Linked DNA regions of Diceros bicornis minor. The main gene of each other region encodes a partner of the protein of the gene in region 3 in a complex. Links are inferred from orthologs where the notes say so. Each region holds a gene or a part of one and is shown on either strand. Other genes may lie near its edges.

Region 1 (7,571 bases), on a different chromosome or scaffold from region 3:
TACCTCATCTTCAGGATCAGGATAAGGTCTCTTGCAAATGCAGTACAATCCAAAAAAGTTGTCATTGTACTTATTGCCAGAATTTGTCTTTGCTTTGTCCTGTAAGATATTAATTTCAATATATAATATGTTCTGATTTTAACTATAATTTCAGGCATCATGAAATTTATGCATTCAGTAAATTTCTGCATTAAATATCTTCCCCCCAGGAGCTGGTCTTTAACTTTCAAAGTACAAAAAATTCACGCCTATTAAAGGGATACTTTTTCCAGGATACAGGGCAAAAATAAAATTTATTTTTTGTAACTTCTTTGTAGCAATTGGGGGAAACCGAATACACCCATTTAATAAAATGGTGACACAAGTTAACTATAAGTATTAATTAATTATCAACCTATGTAAACTGATGTTGGCCTAGAATTTGAAAGCGCTTCTTAATGCCCAGCTGTGAAAGCCAAAGCTCCCAGGTTACCAGGAGGTAAAAAGCGGGCAAGAAAATTGCCTAAAAATAAGTTTCAAAGGAGGGGAAAAGCATGACAGTTTTGGCAATTATGATCGAACAATGCAAAATCCCTTACTTTCTCTTTCATTTCTGTTATTTCACTAAAACTTATCATATAAGCATAGTTTTTATTAGCCAAAAAGCAGTAAAAACTCCTGTGTGCAACTAGCCCATATTCATTATTATCAAATTATTTATTCAGTTTTTTTTTTTTTGTGAGGAAGATCAGCCCTGAGCTAACATCCATGCCAATCCTCCTCTTTTTGCTGAGGAAGACCGGCCCTGAGCTAACATCTGTTGCCAATCCTCCTCCTTTTTTTCCCTTTTTCTCCCCAAAGCCCCAGTAGACAGTTGTATGTCACAGTTGCACATCCTTCTAACTGCTGTATGTGGGATGCTGCCCCAGCATGGCCGGACAAGATGTGCGTCGGTGTGCACCTGGGATCCGAACCCGGGCCGCCAGTAGCGGAGCGCACACACTTAACCGCTAAGCCACGGGGCCGGCCCCATATTTATTCAATTTTTAGTCATACCCTCTGCTTTAAAAGTCCTAGAGCATGAGTACAATCAACATAACTAAACCTGAATCACTTCAAAGAACATTCGCCCAAACCTTTCATATTAATTACAATCTATACTGTAGGCTCTGAACAGGTTACTTAGCTTTCCAACAGGATAAAAACTGGAATACAGTCTAATATTGATTTGCCCATTTGCCAAGAATAAGCATAAGAACTTCCTTTGTGGAAAATATTTGATTTTTACCCACTCTGGCAAATATCAATCTCAGCTACTTTCAATGCATCTATAGTTACAGTGCTTACTTACAGGAAATAATTTGCATTCCAAATTTTTAAACTTGCTGTTTCCACAATCACAACGAAAATTTCTGAAACAAAGGAGGAAGAGCCAATTTTAATTTTTCTTTTAAATCTAATGACCTACTCTTTAAGTTCATATCATAGTCTCTTCCCTTTCAACTCATTTTTGGGATCTAAAAAGTGGCCTTGGTTGCTGTTCATGTATCCAATTTGGAATTTCTCCAAGCACATAACGATAAAAGATTTAATAATTCTTGAAATTAACATGCATAAAGACAAATATCTGTAACTTACACGAGTAAAATAATGGCATAGAAGGATGAGTAGTTTCAGTTTGTTCCATAATTGTATTTTAAAAAGCCCTCTGGAAAAACTCTTCTGTCCAATTATACTATATAAGACAATTACATTAAATTTTACCCGTGCACAATTACTTTGAATGGAAAAGCAAGATTAAGAAAAAAATGCAGCTTGGAAAGAATCTAAACATTTAAAAAGCATTCAGCACCAATCTCTAATTGTCTTTACCTTTTTGTGTATAGTTCAAATAGTTTATGACTTCCATGGCATTCATAACTGCAAGCTAGGCAAATTCCTGCCGGTTCTTCTCCCTCTGGAGTGCAAGTACTACAGGCATACAGTGCTTGTCTCTTTACTGAGCCCTAAAAGACAGCCCCAAAATGGAAAAAGAGAGAGAATAAATTAATTAAATATGGCATGGTTACCTAATACCCATAATGTGATCTGAGAAGTAACTGAAATCAGATTATGTGTGGTCAAGATCTTCCTGTAAAAACCACTAAGACTAATAAGAAAGCTTACACGAGAGAGTACCAAAACATTGTTGCATGTTTCAGATCACTATATATTTACTACATTAGTGCTTGTTTTCATACAATTTTTTCTTAAAGTGATAGGAAGTTTAATATTCTCAGTCAGCTATGAATAAGCAGGTCTGTTTAGTGACTGTAACACATGAAAATGTAGGAGAATGTGTGTAGGTTTATGTAAGGAACACCACACTTTAATTTCGGAAAATGCTGTGATTCCACCAAAGAGAAAATCAATGCATTAAAAGAATCCCTTTGAGGGGCTGGCCTGAGGGTGTAGCAGTTAAGTTCTAGTGCTCTGCTTCGACGGCCCAGGGTTTGCTGGTTCAGATTCTGGGTGCGCACCGAGGTGCCGCTTGTCAAGCCATGCTGTAGCGGCATCCCATATAAAATAGAGGAAGATGGGCACGGATGTTAGCACAGGGCCAATCTTCCTTAGCAAAAAGAGGAGGATTGGCATCAGATGTTAGCTCAGGGCTAATCTTCCTCACACAAAAAAAAAGAATCCCTTTGATATTTAGGAGATGCATGCTGAAGTATTTAGAAGTGTAGTGTCATGATATCTGCAACTTATTTTCAAATGGTTCAGCAGGAAATAGTATATTACGAAGAAGAGAAAGATTAAACAAATGTGGTAAAATGTTAAAAAGTGAATATGTGTAAGAGGTACAAAGGTGTTTCAACTTATCTGTAGATTTAAAATGTTTCAAAATAAAAAGCTGAAGGAAAAACAGGCAAAACTTTTAGAAATCTTGACAATGGTTACCCTCCTCTAGGAAGAAGGGAGACACAAGGAAGCTTCTGGAATGCCAGTAATGTTCTATTTCTTGATCTGGGTGGTAGGTAACTGCATATGTGTGTTTGTTTTTCAAGCCCTACACATGTTCTGTGTAATTTTCCATACATTTTCCTACAATAAAAAACGAAAACGTTAAGGAAGTCTGTTTTACAAAGCTAACTACATTTCAAAAATAGCTCATGTACAGGCTTTTTTTAAAAAAGGAAAGCAGAGAAAAAGTTGTTTTGGTGGTGACCAAACGTTTTAAAATACCAGCCAACACCTGGGACTATCTCTAGATACCAGGTGCTTTCAAAAATCTAACCATTTGGCAGTGTAAGCTTGACTGGCCAATGGTGACAACTGGTATTATGATCTCAGTCCACATCACATAATGACCCCAAGTCTCTCTCCTCATCCCCCAATGTTCCACTCCACCCCCCTGGAAAGTAACATTCTTCCTCCTACCAATTCTCATCCCTTGTTAGTTTTCTTCTACCCACCTTTCTCCATTTTTGTACCTAGAAATATCGGATGAGTCACCAAACACTACATCACACCCCCTCAAATCCTTGTTCACATCTTCCAAGTGCCAAATTTCCTCTTCAAGTAGCTCCTTCCCTCTTCCCCTCTCCTCTTTTGCCAGTGCCACCTGCTGTCCTGGTTCAGGTCCATCCCCATGGGGGGCAGACGGCAGCCAGACACAGTACTTGCTTCGTCTCGCCAAAAAGCTACCAGCTAGCACTTGTCAAACTAAATTGCAGAGGAACTAGCTGTCAAGGAGCCCAGCCCACACAGGGAGATTTTCAAATCCAGACCTTTCTCCTTTAACTCTGCTTTCACTCTCCCATTCGGTTCCCAATAAATACTCTTAGGATCGGAAAAGTAGGGACAAAGATGTCTGAATTGTGAGAGGTCACGGGGATGGTTTCGTAAAAAGCAGCCGGGCGCCGAGAAGAAACGGGAGAGGAAGGACAGAGCAGCTGCTCCAGGGCCAGAGCCTCGGGAATCCTGAGGGGCCGGACGGAGGCAGACCGATGGACGAGGGGGCTTCTGCTGGACAGGGGCTGAGAAAGGGGGCCCAGGGGCTGAGGGTAAAAGGGCAGCTGGGCCTGGCATGGGGGAGCCTACGAAGAACGGCGGCCCCGCACCAGCACGGGGGAGCCGGGCCGCGGCAGGCGGGAACAGGGCAAGTCCGGTCGGGAAAAGGAGGCTCAGCGGAGCCCGGGGGAGACCACGCCCGGGCCGCGCGCCCACCTGCGAGTAGGAGCACTTCTCGGAGTCGCTGCCGCCCAGCACGGCGCACGCCTCGTTCTCTAGCTCCTCGTCCTCCTCAAGCACGTCGACCAACGATACCACGGGCTCCAGCTCCGACTGCCGCCCAGCATGCCCCTCCGCTCCAGCCATGCTCAACTGTCACCAGGACCGCCGCTCTGTCCCTGCGGAGGCGGGAAAAGCGGCCTCGAGGGGGCGTGGCCGGAGGAGGCGGGGCCTGAGTCCCAGGAACCAATCCCAAAGAAAGGAGGTGAAGGAAGGGGGAGGAGCGACTTCCGATGAACGGAAGTTACTCCCCTCCCTTCTCCCGCCCGCGCCCGCCGTAGGCTGGCTTCCGCTTCCGGGTGGCGCATCCTTGTGACGCGCTCTGGAAACTCAGCGGTCGCCATGGAGCTGTTGGGCGAGTATGTTGGGCAGGACGGGCAGCAGCGGCAGCTGCGGGTGCCCTGTGAGGCGCCCGGCGACGCCGACCCTTTCCAGAGCCTGTTGTCGGGAGTGGCCCAGATGAGGGAGCTGGTGGCCGAGCTCTTCGGCCCCCTGGTACAGCGGGAAGCGCAGGACAGGGAGGCGGTGGCACCGGACGAGGCCTTGGACGGTGAGCTCTGAGACGGTGTGGAGCGACAGGAGGGCGGGGCAGGGGCGCCCGTGGAGAGTGGCAGACTTGGAGAAAGTGAGCCTCAGGGGAAGAAGTTTTTCCTAAAAGACGTTGGCACTTTCCGCTGTATTTGGGCTGATTAATCTGGGCTGCTTCTTACCCAAGCGTTTTCGCGATTCTTCATTTATATCACAAAAAACGTGCTGCACGCCTCCTGCTAGGTGTCAGGCATGGGGCTGAGCCCTGGAGAAAGAATGAGGTGAAGGCGACTCGGTTCCTTTACCTGCGAAACTCTCACTCTGGTGAGCGGTTAGACAGGTAGACACTCTGGGTAAAAAGGGCGAGTGTGACCCCAGGGCCTTCTGTAACTGTTGCAAACCCAGGGAACCCCGGAAGGCTTCAGAGAGGGCGTGACTTTTAAGCTGGCTATTGAAGGATGACAGGGAGTTTTCCCAGGTGTGAAATTACAAACATGTTTGGAAGGCTGCCATCTATCGCAGAATAGGAGCAGGTTCCGAAGATTGGAACAGATTTCAGTTGAGCAAGTCTGAACTCGCAGGGACTCCTTCCCTTTCTCAGTTTTGTTTGTGAAGTTTGAAAGTCAAAGCGGGAAATTTAGCTGCATTAATTTTTTTTTTAAGTCTCATCTTAAATACAAAAATAGGGACATTTGATTGCCCTGAGCTGAAGAACCTAAAAACTGAATATTGGAGTCAGGACTTAGCTTTTTTGTAGAGGAGCTTAAACTGTACTGTACTTTTTTTCTTTCCATCTTGTTTTCATCTTGATAGTTTCAGATAATTTGAAGGAGCCAATTCAGAACATTACACCAAGTTCAGACAATAGGTTGTTTCCATGAGAGTGAAATCCTGTTTCTTGCTTCCAAAATACCTCTCCTAATCTGTTGAAAATATTACCATTGGCATGAGAATGAATATAGTTAGAGCCATTTAAAAAAAAATTTTGTCATTACTTACTGCAGAAATAACTGCCACCTGTTCTGTTAATGGTGTAATGTCTTTGTATAGATGGACATGTTTTTGTATCTTTAAACAAGTCCCCATAAAGCTTAGGTTTGGATTTCCATTGTTAAAAGTGACAGAGATTAAAATGACGAATTTTAACTTATATGAATATACCAAGTTTTAAAATTATAAGACTTACTAAAGAAAAGTGACAGAACCCAACACTAAAAAGACAAATAATCCATCTACCAAATGTACAGAGGATTTGAATAGGCAGTTCTCCAAATAAGATATACAAGTGGCCAATAAGCACATGAAAGGATGCTCAACGTCATTGGCTATCAGGGAAACGAAAATCAAAACCACGATAAGATACCACTTCATGCCCACTAGGATGGCTATAATCAAAAAGAACAATAAGTGTTGCTAGGATGTGAAGAAATTGGAGCTCTCATACATTGCTGGTGGAAATGTAAAATGTACCTTCTTTGGAAAACAGTTTGGCAGTTCCTCAAAAAGTTAAACATGAAGTTACTGTATGACCCTGCAATTCCGTTCCTAGTTCAAGGGAACTGGAAACATACGTTCACATAAAAACGTATGCATGAATGTTCATAGCAGCATTATTCATAATAGCTAAAAAGTAGAAACAACACAAGTGTCCGCCAGCTGATAAGTGGATAAACAAAATGCATGTTGATACAATGGAATGTTATTCAGCAGCAAAAACCAATGAAGTACTGATAACTGCTACAATGTGAATGAACCTTGAAAACATGCTAAGTGAAAGAAGGCAGACACAAAAGCCCGCATATTTTATGATTCGTTTATATAAAATGACCAGAATAGACAAATCTGTAGAGATAGAAAGTAGATTAGTGGTTGCCAAGGGCTGAGAGGAATAGGAAGTGGCTGCTAAAGGGTGTGGGATTTCTTTCTGGGATGATGCAAGTGTTCTAGAAATTAGTGATGATCAGTTGCTCAACCTAGTGAATATACTAAATCAATAAACCTTATACTTTAAAAGAGTGAATTTTATGGTATATGAATTATATCTCCAAAAACAGTGATAGAAAAGAAAGGTTTTAAACACCAAAATTCCTGAAATCTTTTTTTTTTTTTTTTTTTTTTGTGAGGAGATCAGCCCTGTGCTAACATCCGCCAATCCTCCTCTTTTTTTGCTGAGGAAGACGGCCCTGGGCTAACATCTGTGCCCATCTTCCTCCACTTTATATGGGACGCCGCCACAGCATGGCTTGCCAAGCAGTGCGTCGGTGCGCGCCCGGGATCCGAACCAGCGAACCCCGGGCCGCCGCAGCGGAGCGCGCGCACCTAACCGCTTGCGCCACCGGGCCGGCCCCCCTGAAATCTTTTTAACCATACATATTTCAGATCTGATATATGCATGGTTTTATTAACCCCTAAAGTGAAATGGTCTCATTATCAACCATTTTAGCTATCTATATTTCTTTCAAGCACTGAACATATTGTCATACAACAAATATTTATTTTAAAAGGTGATGATGAAGATGATGTGGAAGATGAAAATAACATTGATAACAGAACTAACTCAGATGGACCATCTGCAAAACGGCCGAAACCACCATCTTAACAATAGCTTTTATGAAGTTTAAAAGACTGCTACTATAACTTAGTTATCTCATACTGACATTTAAAGAAGACTTGTGCTCTAATTTGGAAAAGCATTTGTTTTGTTCTCCTGGGACAGTTTTGTCAAGGAACTGTCTTGTCTGTTTCCATCAAAAAAAGATATAATAAATGTTTAGAAATGTATCTGTTTTCTT
Region 2 (7,152 bases), on a different chromosome or scaffold from region 3:
CCACCCTTCATTTCCATTTCTATGCTTCACTCCCACGTCTGTGGCTTATCCAGGCCCTTCTCCTGAGCTCCAGGCCACATCTCCAGGGTGGGACTCCAAGACAGCTCTTGGCTCTCCTGCAAACACCTCACTCATTCCTTCAGCACACACTCACTGAGTGCCCGCCATGTCCCAAATGCTGGCAACACTGAGACTGAAAGACACAGTCCCTTCCCTCTTAGCACCCATGGCCAGTGCTGGGCAGCCCCTCAGCACCCACATTTTCTCCACGACCTGGCTCAATGAATGGCAATACCACTCAGCCAGGCTTTTAATGACAGGAAGTGGGAGGCCACCTTTGCCTCTCCCAACTCTCCCTTCTCCATAGGCAATCTGTCAACAATATTTTTAGAAGAGTCCAGAGCAGTTACTTTGTAGAATGTTCTAGAGTCTGGATTTGCCTGATTCCTTCCTTGTTAGATTCAGCTTAAGCACTTTGACAAGTTGCTTTCCTTCCCCCTCTCCCTCAACAGCATCAGCAGGCACTCGGGGTCAGGTGGTCCCACTGTGGGGGAGGCTCGGTTTGTTTTGATCACGTGGTCAAGGTGGTGGCTGCCAGGTCTCCCCATTGCAAAATTGCATGTTCTCTTCTTAATGCACAAGTAATCTGGGGTAATACCTTGAGACCCTGTCCATATCTTGTGCGCAACAATCCTTATCTAATGGTTTCACCAACCAAGGATGAGCCTGACCAGAAGGAATTGCATTGGGGGCTGCAAAACAGTGGTTTTCTGATCCTTTTTTTTCCCTGAGGAAGATTTGTCCTGAGCTAACATCTGTTGCCAATCTTCCTCTATTTTGTATGTGGATCGCTGCCACAGTATGGCTGCAGATGAGTGGTGTAGGTCCACGCCCAGGAACTGAACCTGGGCAGCTGAAACAGAGCATGCTGAATTTAACCTCTAGGCCAGGGGGCTGGCCCCTCTGATGCTTTCCTTCTTTCTACAATTGTTAATTGGCATTTCTCTATGAAGAGCTTTCCTTTTCCCCTGCTCTCTTTTCTCAATTATCATGGTGGATGCATCGTTTTTTTTTATTCAACAACTTAGAATCCAAGAGTGTCATTTTGGGGTCATTTTTATTGGTCTACAGCATTCATGCAGTACTGTGCATAAATCATATCACTGTACAGTGCAATGGACCTTTAAAGTGAACACCCTATGTATCTATCCTCTCCAGACTGAAATAGAGAATACCACCAGCACTCCAGCACCTTCCCTGGTGCCCCCTCCCAGTCATGCTCCTCTCCAAAATCGTTCATATTCTTTTAGATGCTCAAGTTGTTCTAGCTTTGCTTCTCTCGGGTTAGTTCCTGAGTCCCTTTGACATGCCTCATGCTTCTGTTGTTCAAGCACTTCCTGACTTTCTGGCACTACAAGGTGCTCCAGGCTCAGCTTGTGTATTTCTTACCCCAGCCCTAGAATCCACCATTACTTTTTTGTTTTTTTTTCCCCCCAAAGCCCCAGTAGATAGTTGTACGTCATAGTTGCACATCCTTCTAGTTGCTGTATGTGGGATGCAGCCTCAGCATGGCCGGAGAAGTGGTGTTTCAGTGCGCGCCCGGGATCCAAACCCAGGCCGTCAGCAGCGGAGCGCGCGCACTTAACTGCTAAGCCACGGGGCCGGCCCGAATCCACCATTTCTCCAGGGAGCTCTGGTCCTTTGAGTGGAGAACGATACTGAGAAACCAAGGTCTGAGTGCAGGGTGTGTTCATTGCTACTGGGGTGTCACTGCTTCTAGACTTTTTCACTGGCTCGAACTAGGAAATATATATATATATATATATATATATATTTTTTGTGTGTGTGTGTGTGTGTGTGTGTGTGTGAGGAAGATTAGCCCTGAGCTAACATCTGTTGCCAATCCTCCTCTTTTTGCTGAGGAAGATTGGCCCTGGGCTAATATCTGTGCCCATCTTCCTCTACTTTATATGTGGGACGCCTGCCACAGCATGGCTTGATAAGCAGTGCATAGGTCTGTGCTCTGGATCCGAACCTGTGGACCCTGGGCCGCCGAAGCAGAGCACGTGAACCTAACCACTATGCCACCAGACCAGTCCCAGAAATATATATTTTTATGAGTTCATACTGCGGGGCCGGCCCAGTGGCGCAAGTGGTTAAGTGCGTGTGCTCCCCTGTGGTGGTCCAGGGTTCACCGGTTCGGATCCTGGGCGTGCACCGACGCACCACTTGTCAAGCCATGCTGTGGCGGCGTCCCATATAAAGTGGAGGAAGATGGGCACGGATGTTAGCCCAGGGCAAGTCTTCCTCAGCAGAAAAAAAAAAAGAGGAGGATTGGCAGATGTTAGCACAGAGCTGATCTCCTCACACACACACAAAAAAGAGTTCATACTGCAATCCCTAATTCCAATCCAGCATCACAGTTCTTTCTCACCTTCCCCCATTCCACAGTGAGAATTCGGGTTCTCGACATCCATATATTTACTCTTTTGCTCTACCGGGTGGAGTCTATGTTAAAGCACACCCCAAAGAGCTCCACACTGACCTCATCACTACCATTGCCAACGACGAACATACTAAGAGGAAAGCCAATTCTTTTGGTTCTTAGAATACATCCCATGAAAGCAGTCCAGTCAGAGAGCTGAGTTGAAAGGCACCTAAATTGTTTTCTGTGTGGTTTTGTTATCAATTGGATATGCAGTTAGGCTCATTTGTTTTTGTTTTTATTCAATTTTAGCATTTGATTTTTTTCACTCTTTCAAATGTATTTTTGACCACATAAAATATTCACATGGTTCAAAGTCAAAAGTACACAAAAAGGTATATTCCAAGAAATCCCATACCCATCTGAACACCCTAGAGGTGACCATTTTCATTAGTTTTGCGTTTCTTCTTCCTATGTCTTTTCTTTTTTTCCAATAAGCATGTGTGTGTCCTTTGCACTCTGCTTTTTTCACATAACAATATATCCTGGAGATCATTTTATTTTTCATTAAAGATTTTCATTCTTTTTTACTGCTGCTTAGGACTATTGTATGAATGTAGCATAGTTTATTTCACCAGTTCCCTGCTGACAGACATGTACCTTGTGTCCAATAGTTTTCCATTACCAATTATGTTACAGTGAGTGGCTCTGTGAATGTGTTGTTTCATATTTGTGAAGTAACATCCTACATGCGGGATTGCTGGTTCCAAGGCAGTGCTCCAGTTTTGTACTTAGTTAATACTCTGTTTCATTCAACAAACAACAAAGCACCTACTGCATAAACTGCACTGAACACATACCAGTGATGATATATCAACAATACAGAAGAGAACAAAACGAAATTATAATTTCAGATTATTAGAAATGTTATGCAGCAAATTGAAATGGGCAAATATGAAGAAGCGTGCTGGGGGTAGTATGTCAGATTGGTGATCCAGAAGCCCTCTCAGAGGTGACATTGGAGCCAAGATCCTAATGACAAAAAGGAGCTAGCCATGGGAGAGTTTGGGGACATAGTCTTCCAAATAGCAGAGTAAGTGCAAAGGGCTGAGGGCAGGCCACCCTTGGTCAGTAGCAGAGAGAAGGCCCCAGAGGCTGCAGAGAATGAGAAAGCAGGCAGGTGGGGTCGGAGGAACTGGGAGCCAGGTCACACAGGGCTTTTATAAGCTATGACAGGGAGTTTGGATTTGATTCCAAGGGCAATGGGAAATCGTTTTAGGATTTTAAGCAGGGACATGATATGATGTGATTTATATTAAAAATTAAGAACCGATTCTGTTGTGTAGAGAACAGGCTGCAGAGGTGCAAGGGTAGAAGAAAACCAGTCAGGAAGCTGTTGAAGGAGTTCAGAGAGAGACGGTGGCTCCCACAGGGGACTAGCAACGGAAAGGGAGAGAAGTTGGCTGATTTAGCATCTATTTTGAGGAGAGAGCCAACGAGATTTGATGATATAGTTCAGATTCATGTCCTTCCTTTTGATTCCAAAGGAGGAAAATAGAAAAGCAACGACAATCACCACCAAAAATTTCATGTCACTTTAAAAACATATTTTTTATTAAAAATGTCATAAAAGATTACTGTCAAAAATTTTGAGGAGGGCCGGCCCCGTGGCTTAGCGTTTGAGTGCGTGTGCTCTGCTGCTGGCGGCCCAGGTTCGGGTCCCGGGCGTGCACTGACGCGCTGCTTCTCTGGCCATGCTGGGGCCACGTCCCACATGCAGCAACTAGAAGGATGTGCAGCTATGACACACAACTATCTACTGGGGCTTTGGGGGAAAAATAAATAAACAAATAAAAAAAATTTTTTAAAGTTTGGGGAAAACACAAAAAAGTTAACAACACAATCCCATCACATCCAGATAACAAGTGTTTACATTTTGCTGTATTGTTCTAGGATTTCTATGCATATAGACAGTAATTTCCCTAATTGGGATTTTAGTGATTTTAGTCTTGCATTCTGATGGTTCTCACTGCCACTACTTTATTTCAGGTCCCTATCATTTGTCTTCTTGCCTCCATGGGGGCCTCCCTGCTGGCAGGCTTGACCTCCACACGGCCCACTTAGTGATCTTTCTAAAAATAAAATCTGATGGGGTTGTTGCCCCCTTTAAATTCCCCTTTGGTTTCTCCACCTACATGGCCAATGGGGCGGGGTGCAGAGCAGTATCCCTCGGGGACTATCCAATTCCACCTCCCTCCACAAATCACTGCCAGGACATCGAGCCACATCTCTTGGGGGTATTGGCTCTGGGAAAGAGATAGGGCGGGAAACCGGCCACACATCTGGCGCCCTCACACGAGGTCTTGCGGGGCGGGGGGGGGGGGCGGGGGAGCGAGGTGGCGAGGCAGGACCGGTTGTGCAGGCGCGCTGGGGTCACATGTCGTTCTAAGGGGCAGAGCTTCATGAAGGAGCATTCATTGGCTAGGTAGCCAACGGGATGTCTCGGGGTGTGGCAGGCCTGGCTGGGCGGGAACCTGTCGTCCTTCCAAGGAATCAGAGGGTGTCTGTTTGCGCAGGCGCTGTGGGGATCCCCCGTGGCACTGGGCACTAAGGTGCGGAGCTTGGTGAGGGACTGCTCATTGGCTAGGTAGCCATGGGGTCTCCCGGGGCCCGCGGGCGGCAGGGCCTGCTGGGCAGGAACTGAGGCCTCACTAGGGGCCTGTTTGTGCAGGCGCCCTGGGGTCGAGTCATGCGCGAAGGAGTGGGGCTTCTGCAGGGAGCCTCAGTTTCTCAGCAGCCAACGGAGTCTCCGAGAGCCTCCAGGATGGTCGCTTTGGCGGGAATCCACCACGCGCCCGGCGGCCTCACTAGGGCCTGTTTGCGCAGGCGTGCGGGGCGGAGTCAGCGTGAGGGGGCGGAGCTTTGGGAAGGAGCCACAGTTCCTTAGGCTCCGGCAGAGAGGGCGGAGTCGAAGGCGGAGCGCGGCGGCCATGCAGGCAGCAGACGCAGGCGCAGGCGGTGCGGCGGGCGGTGCCGAGAGCCAGGACCGCGAGGGTGGCCACGGCCTCCACGGCGGTGCAGGCGCGGCGACCGCTGCAGCCGGGGGAGCTCCGCGTGTTACGCGAGCACAGCACGCCCCAGGGCCAGGTGGAGACGCCACATCCACAGCCAGAAGGCCAGAAAGCCGACTACACATATTGTATCCTACCGGAGGGGACAGCGGGGAATGGTCTGGGGGCTGCCTGCGGGCGGGGAATGACGTGCAGAGGGACAGATGGGTCGGTGGCAGCCTGGGGGCGGAAAGGGGAGCGGGGGGGAACCGGGGACGGCTGGGGCTGGGATTGGTATGGGGGGGAAAGAAATGAGAGTAAAGGGGAACGGGGTGGCTGGGGAGGACTAGGGCCACGGGTGGTCTGGAGGGGGTGGAAGCAGTCCTGGAAGGAGTGAGACTAGTCAGGGTGGTCTGAGAGGGGTCCCGAGGCACAGAGTCTTTATGGATGGTGCCTTAACCGAATCTCCAGCGTCCTCAGCGTGCCTTTCCCGTCCCCCTTGGAGGCGGAGATCGCCCATGGGTCCCTGACCCCAGATGCGGAACCCCACCGAGGGGCGGTTCGGAAGGAGCTCACAGTGATTGGCAGCGTCCTGGCGGTGTAAATTCTCGGGGCTGGGTAGGATTAGCAGCGGGTGTCCAGGCCACCTGGGGCGCTCTATTGGAGACACGGAGACACGGGTTAGGTCTAGAGAGGGGACATGGTCCGCTAGACCCGTCTCCGTCTGAGGGGGCGCTCTAATGCACATAGCAAAGGATTCGGTGTAATGGATGCCTGAGAGGCAGAGCGAGGAAGGGGAGGAGTTACCGCGTCCAAATTGATTTTCTTTTCCCCTCACTTTAGCCGCTGGAAAGCTGAAGATTCTCGCCTCCTCCGAATTTCCATCATCAACTTTCTTGACCAGCTTTCCCTGGTGATGCGGACCATGCAGTGCTTTGGGCCCCCTGTTTCCCGCTAAGCCTGGGCTGGGAAAGGGGGCTAAGGTCTAACCTCCTGTCCCTTCCAAGGCAGTGCATCTTTCCTAGGCGGAAGATTGCTGCAGTCGCTGCCACTTTATTATGGGGCCCTGATGTTTTGCTTTTACTGGCCTTTGGGCACTCAGGGTCCACTTGTTTCGTTTGGTGATTCAGTGTTCATTACAGCAGAAAATAAAACTGAGCAGCTATTCCGTGTCTGAGTTCCTTTTCAGCTACTGCACCTCCTAATATTCTTGTCTTTGTCCTCATGGTGCGGGGGCGGTTCTGGGATTCAGATAGTCCAGTAGGACAAGGCAATTGAAGACAATTTAGGAAATGGAAGAAGGTGGGTCTTGTCATTCAGTATTAACTACTGTCAACATTTTGGAATATTTTCTTACTTTTATACTTGTATTTCTATAGTAAATAATAATATATAATGCATGATATTTTGCAAGTTTAGGATTTTTCCTGATATTTTTCATCTAATATGAACTTTCACTCTTTCTAAAAATTCTTCAAAAGCATTATTGAATAAATGCATAAAAGATAAATTGTAATTATTGAACATTTAAATTATTATTTTTGTGTGTGTGAGGAAGATCAGCCCTGAGCTAACATCCACGCCAACCCTCCTCTTTTTGCTGAGGAAGACAGGCGCTAAGCTAACATCTATTGCCAATCCTCCTCCTTTTTTCCCCTTTTTCTCCCCAAAGCCCCA
Region 3 (7,871 bases):
ATGGATGAGTAAAGAAAGTGGTTTCTTGAGATGGAATCTACTCCTGGTGAAGATGCTGTGATGACTGTTGAAAAGACAACAAAGGATTTAGAATATTACACAAACTTAGTTGATAAAGTAGCAGCAGGGTTTGAGAGGACTGACTCCAATTCTGAAAGAAGTTCTACTGTGGGTAAAATGCTATCAAAATAGCATGGCATGCCACAGAGAAACCATTCATGAAAGGAAGAGTCAATTGCTGCAGCAAACTTCATTGTTGGTCTTATTTTGAGAAACTGCCCCTCAGAGAGAAGGGGCAGAACCAGGGTGACCACAGTGAGTACCTGGCCAGGGCTTGTCTTGGGCCCCAGCCCCAACCCCCCTAAAAAGAGAAATTGCCCTAGTCACCCCAACCATCATCAATCACCACCATCATCAGTCAGCAGCCATCAACATGGAGGCGAGACTCTCCACCAGCAAAAAGATTATGACTTGCTGAAGGCTCAGATGATGGTTAGCAATTTTTAGCAATAAAGTGTTTTTTAATTAAGGTACGTACATTGTTTTCTTCAGACATAATGCTATGGCACACTTAATAGGCTACAGTACAGTGTAAGCATAACTTTTATATGTACTGGGAAACCAAAATACTTGTGTGACTTGTTGTATTGCGATATTAGCTTTATTGTAGTGGTCTGGAACCAAACCTGCAATATCTCTGAGGTATGCCTGTATATTCTTCCACTGGCGACCACGCTCCCAGCCATACCTTTGGTGTAGGCAATGCAGTCAACATCCTGGGAGGTTAATCCAGCCTCTGTTAGTGCCTCCTGCAGCAGGTCCAGGATAACGGCTCGGTGGTGCCTGGCAGTATCACCTGGAAGGAATCCTAGGAGATGGACACAGGTCAGAGATCATAGGGCTTTTCTATAGCAAAGGTAGGTAGAAGTAAAAAACAGGCATTTTAGTAGTGTAAGAAGAGTCCCTTTCACTCTCCTCATGCATCCTGTCTTCCAGGTTTTCAGATCTACTTCTTCCAGCCTGTTCAGCCATGCTGAACAGCTCTCAGAAATGCCCTTCTTCATACTCAACTCCTACTCAGCCCTCAGGACTTAATTCAAGTGACACCTATCTCATAGCCTTTGGAGATCTTCTCTGCAAGCCTACAGAACCTTGTGCGTGATCACATCATTGTATTTAACAAATAACTATTATAGCATTATAATTATCTGTGGTTTCCCAAGTTTTAACCATGAGCATCTCAAAGCACTGGCTATTTTATTTATCTTTGTATTCCTGGTGTCAAAATGCTTAGACGAGTGAGTGCTAAACATACACATGTATTGGTTTTTGTTTTTTTTTTACTTTTGTTTTTTATTCATTTTATTTTATTCTTTTTTGTGAGGAAGATCAGCCCTGAGCTAACATCCGTGCTAATCCTCCTCTTTTTGCTGAGGAAGACCGGCTCTGAGCTAACATCTATTGCCAATCCTCCTCCTTTTTTTCTCCCCCAAAGCCCCAGTAGATAGTTGTATGTTGTAGTTGCACATCCCTCTAGTTGCTGTATGTGGGACACGGCCTCAGCATGGCCGGAGAAGCGGTGCGTCGGTGTGCGCCCAGGATCTGAACCCCGGGCCACCAGTAGCGGAGCACGTGCACTTAACCGCTAAGCCACGAGGCCAGCCCCACATGTATTGTTAATGAGTAACCTGTCACAACATCGCCTGTTCACGGAGGCTTTTCAGGTATATGCAAGTCAATTACCCTTCCCTATGTATGCAGGTAATTTGGAGGAGGATAGGCAAGACGTAACATCATAACTTACAAATAACATTTATTACAAGTGCAATGTGTCTGGTACTTTTATTTAATTCTCAAGACCCAATGACCCAGGTACTATTATTATTCCCATTTTAAGAGTAAGGAACAGAAGTCCAAAAACAAATACTGAACATGAATACTGCAAAGCCAGCCAGTTCTGTCTGACACCTAAGCTGAGAGTCTTTAAACTTCTTCTCATTCTAGAATATTTTGATTGCATCTATATTACACTATTTACCGTACTGTAAAGTTCTGTTTATATGTCGGATTCCATAGCAGGCTCACAACACCTATTTTTGTATCTAGCAGCCAGCTGATTATTAGCACATAAAAGGCACTCAATAAAAGCTGAATGTACCCAAAAGATCCAGGTCCAAGTGCCTGCGACTCTTCTATTATCAGCCTTGTGACGTTAATACTGTCAGAATCTCAGAGACTCGGATCAAAACTCTACGAAGCGGACAATGCGCTCCACTCCCTATGTCACTAGTGTTTGAGGAGGAGGAAGGTCATGCTGTGCAGAGAAGCGCGCCGCAAACTACAAATCCACTACTCACGCACCTGTGCCCGGAGGCGTGACGTAGGTCCGCCGCGGGTTCGCCAGCACCGTGCCATCCCGCACCACTCCCACGCCAATCTTGTTGGCGCTGCCTTCAAAACCCAGCACCGTAGGCATGGCCAAGCTTGAGAGAAAATGCCGGCAGGGCTCCTAGCTGCCAAAGGATCCGCGGAGCCCTCACCAGGCCCTGCAAGGTCGCTGATTCCGGAGCGCAAAGAAAGACCACGAGCAAGCCGCCGCTAGGTAGCGGCGCGCACAGACAGACACTAAAGTACTCCTGCGGGTGGCGCGCCCGCGCCGGCCCCGCCCCCGTGTCACGGCGACCCGTCAAGGCCCCTTCAAGGACCTGTCCTCCTAACTGCCAGAGACGCTGAGCCGGCATCTCCTCCGTACGTTCCCATCCGTTCTTCTGCCTCTCTCCCGCGGTTCAGCCCAGGCTTCTCCACTGATTTTCTCCCTCTTGCACAGTGTTGGGGTCTTCGGCCAAGGTGGCAGAATGAGTCGGGCATCTGGCACACCGATAAACAGCCCGAGGATGGAGGGTTAGGTCCTTCCGATTCCGGGAGACAGGGCGAAGGGCGGGAAGGCCGAGCTGCCCCGTCATGTGGTGCCAGACAAACCAATCACCAGCATTCCTCCGCCACCTAATACATACCTCAGAACACGTGACCACGCCAGTTACCCACGTGGGGCCACAACGTGCTGCATTCTTTGTGCTCGGGTGAGGAGGAGCCAGGCTGGGACTCGGGGAGGTCAGATCCGGGGTTGCTGTTCTTTGCCCATCACAGGGGCTTCTCTGGACGTCTGATCGGCCAGCCTAAATCGGCACCCTTAATTAAGGCCCTGGATTGGCCGGAGGGCAGATCTCGCGAGGAGGGTACAAGGCAGTATAGAATGATCTAGTCTTGTGGGTGAGGGGCTGAAGGGCCTATAGTGCGCGGAGGCGGGGAAAGGATTCTGAGATAATATGGTTTCAAAGGCGGGACCTAGTGCGAGGGCGCCCGAGGGAGGAGTTTTTTCCTCAGCCTCAGCTGGTTTCATGATTTCTTTGCGTCTGTAGGCAACGCGGTAAAAATACTGATTCGGTGGGCGACGCGGAACGGGTGCCGAAGGGCGTTTGTTACAGTGATGCCGAAGCGTGGGAAAAAGGGAGCGGTGGCAGAAGACGGAGAAGGGCCCAAGACTGGTAAGAGAATGAAATGAGCCCGTCTCCCTAGAGGCTGCGATGGGGTGTTTCTAATTGCTCCGATGAACGGAAGTAGGCCAGACTAAATATATTTTTGCCGAGTTTCTGAAAAAGGCGCGGCAACTGCAGGCTGTGGGTCTGTAGTTAACTCTGGATCAAAATTAAATACCGCCAAGTTTTATCACTATGTATTACTCATTTATAGAGCCAGAGGCCAAGAAGAGTAAGGCAGGAGCAAAGAAAAACGAAAAAGAGGCAGCGGGAGAGGGACCAGTCCTGTATGAGGACCCCCCAGATCACAAAACCTCACCCAGTGGCAAATCAGCCACACTCAAGATCTGCTCCTGGAATGTGGATGGGCTTCGAGCCTGGATTAAGAAGAAAGGTTTAGATGTGAGTGCAATTCAAGGAGGGGAAGAGACAGCCTTTAGTATTGAATGATCTACGGGTTTAATTGCCTTTTCTCATTTTAGTCCCAAGCATGTAGGTTTTATTTTTCCCTTATTGGTAGTTTTCTTGGGGGAGAGGCACAAGGAGGGCCTTCACCAACTCATACCAGTTGTATTTCCTAAAGGTCCATTCCTTCAATTCCCTTAGCATTGTTTTGATGTCCTCATCTCTTCCCCAGCATGTTGCAAAAACCTTGTTACTGGACTTGCTCCATTTTATCTCCAGCATATCCTCCATTTAAATTACTGCTTAAAAATCTCAGCTGGCTATCCATTGCCTGTAGAAAACCACATCTCAGTGTTGCCTGTACCACTCTCCCTACCTCCCTCCATCAGTGGCAGTTACATAATTTATCATTGTTTAAATTATTTAAATATTGTGCCTAGACTGTTACACTCCTTTTCCACAAGGACTGTCTCACTTGTGTATCTCTAGTACTTAGAACATAACTTCTTCAATAAATGTCTGCTGAATTGATGATACTTTTTCTACCTGTCATTTCACTCAGTGGGTAAAGGAAGAAGCCCCAGATATCCTGTGCCTCCAAGAGACCAAATGTTCAGAGAACAAACTACCAGCTGAACTTCAAGAGCTGTCTGGACTATCCCATCAGTACTGGTCAGCTCCTTCAGACAAGGAAGGGTACAGTGGTGTGGGCCTGCTTTCCCGCCAGTGCCCACTCAAAGTCTCCTATGGCATTGGTGAGACCCTATTGATTCCTAACGCCTGAGCTCTTTCAAACCAATTGCTAATACCCGACTGAGCCCCAATTCTTGATTCCTTTATTCTCTGTTTTCCCTTTTATACCTCTTTATTCTGATTGTTTCATCATTTCTGTAGGTGAGGAGGAACATGATCAGGAAGGCCGAGTGATTGTGGCTGAATTTGATGCATTTGTGCTGGTAACAGCCTATGTACCTAATGCAGGCCGGGGTCTGGTGCGCTTGGAGTACCGGCAGCGCTGGGACGAAGCCTTTCGCAAGTTCCTGAAGGGCCTGGCTTCCCGCAAGCCCCTTGTGCTATGTGGGGATCTCAATGTGGCTCATGAAGAAATTGACCTTCGTAACCCCAAGGGAAACAAAAAGAATGCTGGCTTCACGCCACAAGAGCGTCAGGGCTTTGGGGAATTGCTGCAGGCTGTGCCACTGGCTGACAGTTTCCGGCATCTCTACCCTGACACGGCCTATGCCTACACCTTTTGGACCTATATGATGAATGCACGCTCCAAAAATGTTGGTTGGCGCCTTGATTATTTTTTGTTGTCTCACTCTCTGTTACCTGCATTGTGTGACAGCAAGATCCGTTCCAAGGCCCTGGGCAGTGACCACTGTCCCATCACCCTATACCTAGCACTGTGACACCTCCCCCAAATCACTTTGAGCCTGGGAAATAAGCCCCCCAAACTAGCTTTAAAACTTCTTACCCCCGCTCCCAAACTTCTTTAAAAACTGCTCTCTAGAGAAATCTGCACTGTATTTTCTTTGTGAAAATATGAATCCTTCAACCAGGCTCCTAGTGACAGACTTAGGTTTTCTTTAAGCCAGAGGTTTGGTTTTGTTTTTGACGGGTTTTTTTTTTTTTACATTAAACAAAAGCTACTGATGACTTCCTTGACCTGTCCATGTGAAAATAAAGAGCCATAGTTTCAGCCTTGCTGTCTTTGTATTCTACCCCTTTGTAGGGCTACAAATTCCCCTCCTCATCTTTTCATACGTATAGATTAACAACTGGAAAAGGACAGTCATAACCTTATTTATTTACAAGCACAGGATGAGTCCCTAACTTCCCCCAACAGAGAAGAACCCTACCCAGCCCAGTTAAATACTGCAACTGAGAGGTAAGGTTAGGAGGAATGAAGGAAAACACAGGACTAGGGGAACATACCCCACATTAAATAGTTATATACACATCAGTTCCTGTGGTTCTGTACAGAGCAGCAGCTGACCCCACCCCCACAGGACACAGAATGGGGGGAGAGGAGACTGAGGGTACTGAGGCCAGAGCCAGCCCCTGGTGAAGTGCAATAGCAGCAGCAAGGTCCTAAGAGTGCACAAGAGGGAGGGAAACCCCCAGGGCTACCCACCCCGACCCTGCCCTGGAATGTGTAAGGGACAGGAATGGCTCTTGGGGAGCACATAGGAAGAACGAGGCTAGAACCGTCTTTTAGGGCCCAGGTTTAAGGGCAACATTTCACCTACTTCACTCTCAACAGCAACCCCTGGGGGAAAGCAGATGGCCAGCAGTGGTCTTATCTACCCTTCCAAACCTAGGTGAGGGCCTGGTTCCTTCCTACCTCTCCCCAGGGAAAAGGAAGGCAGCTGCTCGGCTCCTCTTACAGAAGCCCTGGGGAGCCTTTTACCACGGCTCCCTCTGTAGTGTCACTGTCCCCACCAGGGAGGGGCCAGGCACAGTCTGTGGGTCGTCATGGGGCTCAGGAGAAGTTCTGGACAGGGTGGCTGACCTTCATACAGGCCCAATAGAGGGCCCGGCCCAAACACAGCACAGCCAACAGGATGACAAATGCCCAGGCTGCATAGATGCCTCCATATCGCCGTGCATGCTTCCATGTGCCAAACTGATGAAGGTGAAGAAGAAAAAGAAAGATGGGGTTACTGCTGATCTCTCACCACTTTCTAGGAGCCCCGGTAACAGTAACACAGAACTCAAGCTTCAGTTCCTGTTCCCTGTCCACATGTAGGCACCTTCAGGGACCTTTTTAAAGGCCCAGTTGTTCAGCTCCCTCCTCCTAGGCAGGAACATAACTCATACAATCCTAGACAACTGTCAGATTTTCTCAATATCTTAGGTTTCCTAATACCAACTCTTTAATTTAAGCCATTTCTCTGTTGTCCTATCCTCTGCATAAAAAAGATGGCTGGTTTTTACTCCTTTAGTAACAGCGAGGACTGTTTATCAGTTAGTTCAACTTCAGCTCATCTGCACATTAAAACAAGACAAAACAACCCAGCCCTCAGTTTCACTTTTTTGGGGAGTAGCCATTTCCCAAATCTTAGCCTGTGGAGATGAGGCTGAAGAATGAAGGGTCTGATCAAGGTTACTCACAGCAAGGCCAGTGGCAGTGATTGCCAAGAGTAAGCCAAGCAAGAAGCAGCAGATACATCTCTTTCGTGGATATCTGCGCCCAATAGATGACCTGTGGGGAGCCAAACAGAAATAGACGCTTGTAATGACCCTGTAGTTTTCACTCTACACATTACCCCATTACCAGCCCAACGATGCCACTCTTTAATCACTTACACTTTCCTGCAGTGAGGGCAACGGGCCAAGGTTCGATCTGTGAACTCTGTCCACTATGGAGAAAGAAAAAGGGAGAAAGCAATTAATAGTAGAAGCTTTAATAGTAGAAGTCATCTTCAATAAGAGCCCTAGGGCAGGGAGAGGGTGAGAAATAGGTCCTCATAGAACAGACCTTTTCAGGATTCATTATCATCATTCAGAAATATATTCATGATTACTCTTGTTTTTCTTTTTTCCAGGGCTTCCCAATATCTCTCCTCACCAGAAAAGTATTCTTGCAATGTCCACAGATGACCCTGACACCCACGGGTTGTGGTTCTGGACTCAGAGGCCCTGGATGCACAGGCCCAAGATTGATGATTCTTTTGCTGTACAGGAGAAAAAGACTATGTTCAAAATATTCTTAATCCTAAGGATCCCCACGCTATCCTTCCTTCACATCCCCTACTCCCTGCCTCTCTGAGTTCATCTACTTCTCTGTGCATTTAAGGCTCTGCCCCCCAACCGTACCCCAGAGAATCATTGAAGAAGAGCACTGTTTAAACTTCAGGTCTCTAATTCCTCTTTTACTTTAGGATAATTCTCCCAGTCCCCGAGACTCTCCGTTCTCCTAAAGGA

What was found. Proteins that work in one complex are often made in the same cells at the same time.
Region 1: OSGEP (region 3) and GON7 share a complex: the UniProt entries of both Homo sapiens proteins name them as parts of the EKC/KEOPS complex. The link is inferred for Diceros bicornis minor from reciprocal best matches to the Homo sapiens genes OSGEP and GON7.
Region 2: the proteins of OSGEP (region 3) and LAGE3 are in contact, whole or in part, in a crystal structure (PDB 6GWJ), measured with the Homo sapiens proteins. The link is inferred for Diceros bicornis minor from reciprocal best matches to the Homo sapiens genes OSGEP and LAGE3. Residues at the interface, in NP_060277.1 of Homo sapiens: Arg50, Ile53, Leu54, Asp55, Leu57, Gln58, Leu61, Gln69, Ala84, Val87, Ser88, Val91, Val92, Arg94, Thr95, Val96, Gln98, Leu99, Trp100, Asn101, Leu315, Ser318, Gly319, Val320; in NP_006005.2 of Homo sapiens: Glu76, Ile77, Gly80, Ser81, Leu82, Pro84, Asp85, Asp125, Gln126, Leu129, Val130, Arg132, Thr133, Met134, Arg136, Phe137, Gly138, Pro139, Pro140, Val141, Arg143.

What each region holds. Positions count from the first base shown.
Region 1 is NC_080763.1:38,867,799-38,875,369, reverse strand, and holds the start of GON7 (EKC/KEOPS complex subunit GON7), read left to right. Parts: upstream 1-4,559; 5' UTR 4,560-4,593; coding exon 4,594-4,801; intron 4,802-7,283; coding exon 7,284-7,378; 3' UTR 7,379-7,571. Other genes in the region: putative E3 ubiquitin-protein ligase UBR7, read right to left, coding at 4-99, 1,331-1,391, 1,852-1,985, 4,189-4,338. UniProt on the Homo sapiens protein: Component of the EKC/KEOPS complex that is required for the formation of a threonylcarbamoyl group on adenosine at position 37 (t(6)A37) in tRNAs that read codons beginning with adenine.
Region 2 is NC_080781.1:138,416,836-138,423,987, reverse strand, and holds LAGE3 (EKC/KEOPS complex subunit LAGE3), read left to right. Parts: upstream 1-4,963; 5' UTR 4,964-5,037; intron 5,038-5,156; 5' UTR 5,157-5,415; coding exon 5,416-5,624; intron 5,625-5,946; coding exon 5,947-6,075; intron 6,076-6,318; coding exon 6,319-6,433; 3' UTR 6,434-6,640; downstream 6,641-7,152. UniProt on the Homo sapiens protein: Component of the EKC/KEOPS complex that is required for the formation of a threonylcarbamoyl group on adenosine at position 37 (t(6)A37) in tRNAs that read codons beginning with adenine.
Region 3 is NC_080744.1:28,852,563-28,860,433, reverse strand, and holds the start of OSGEP (tRNA N6-adenosine threonylcarbamoyltransferase), read right to left. Parts: upstream 3,003-7,871; 5' UTR 2,477-3,002; coding exon 2,362-2,476; intron 869-2,361; coding exon 749-868; intron 1-748. Other genes in the region: APEX1 (DNA-(apurinic or apyrimidinic site) endonuclease), read left to right, coding at 3,488-3,545, 3,751-3,938, 4,504-4,696, 4,836-5,353; PIP4P1 (type 1 phosphatidylinositol 4,5-bisphosphate 4-phosphatase), read right to left, coding at 6,427-6,570, 7,059-7,149, 7,254-7,306, 7,516-7,621. UniProt on the Homo sapiens protein: Component of the EKC/KEOPS complex that is required for the formation of a threonylcarbamoyl group on adenosine at position 37 (t(6)A37) in tRNAs that read codons beginning with adenine.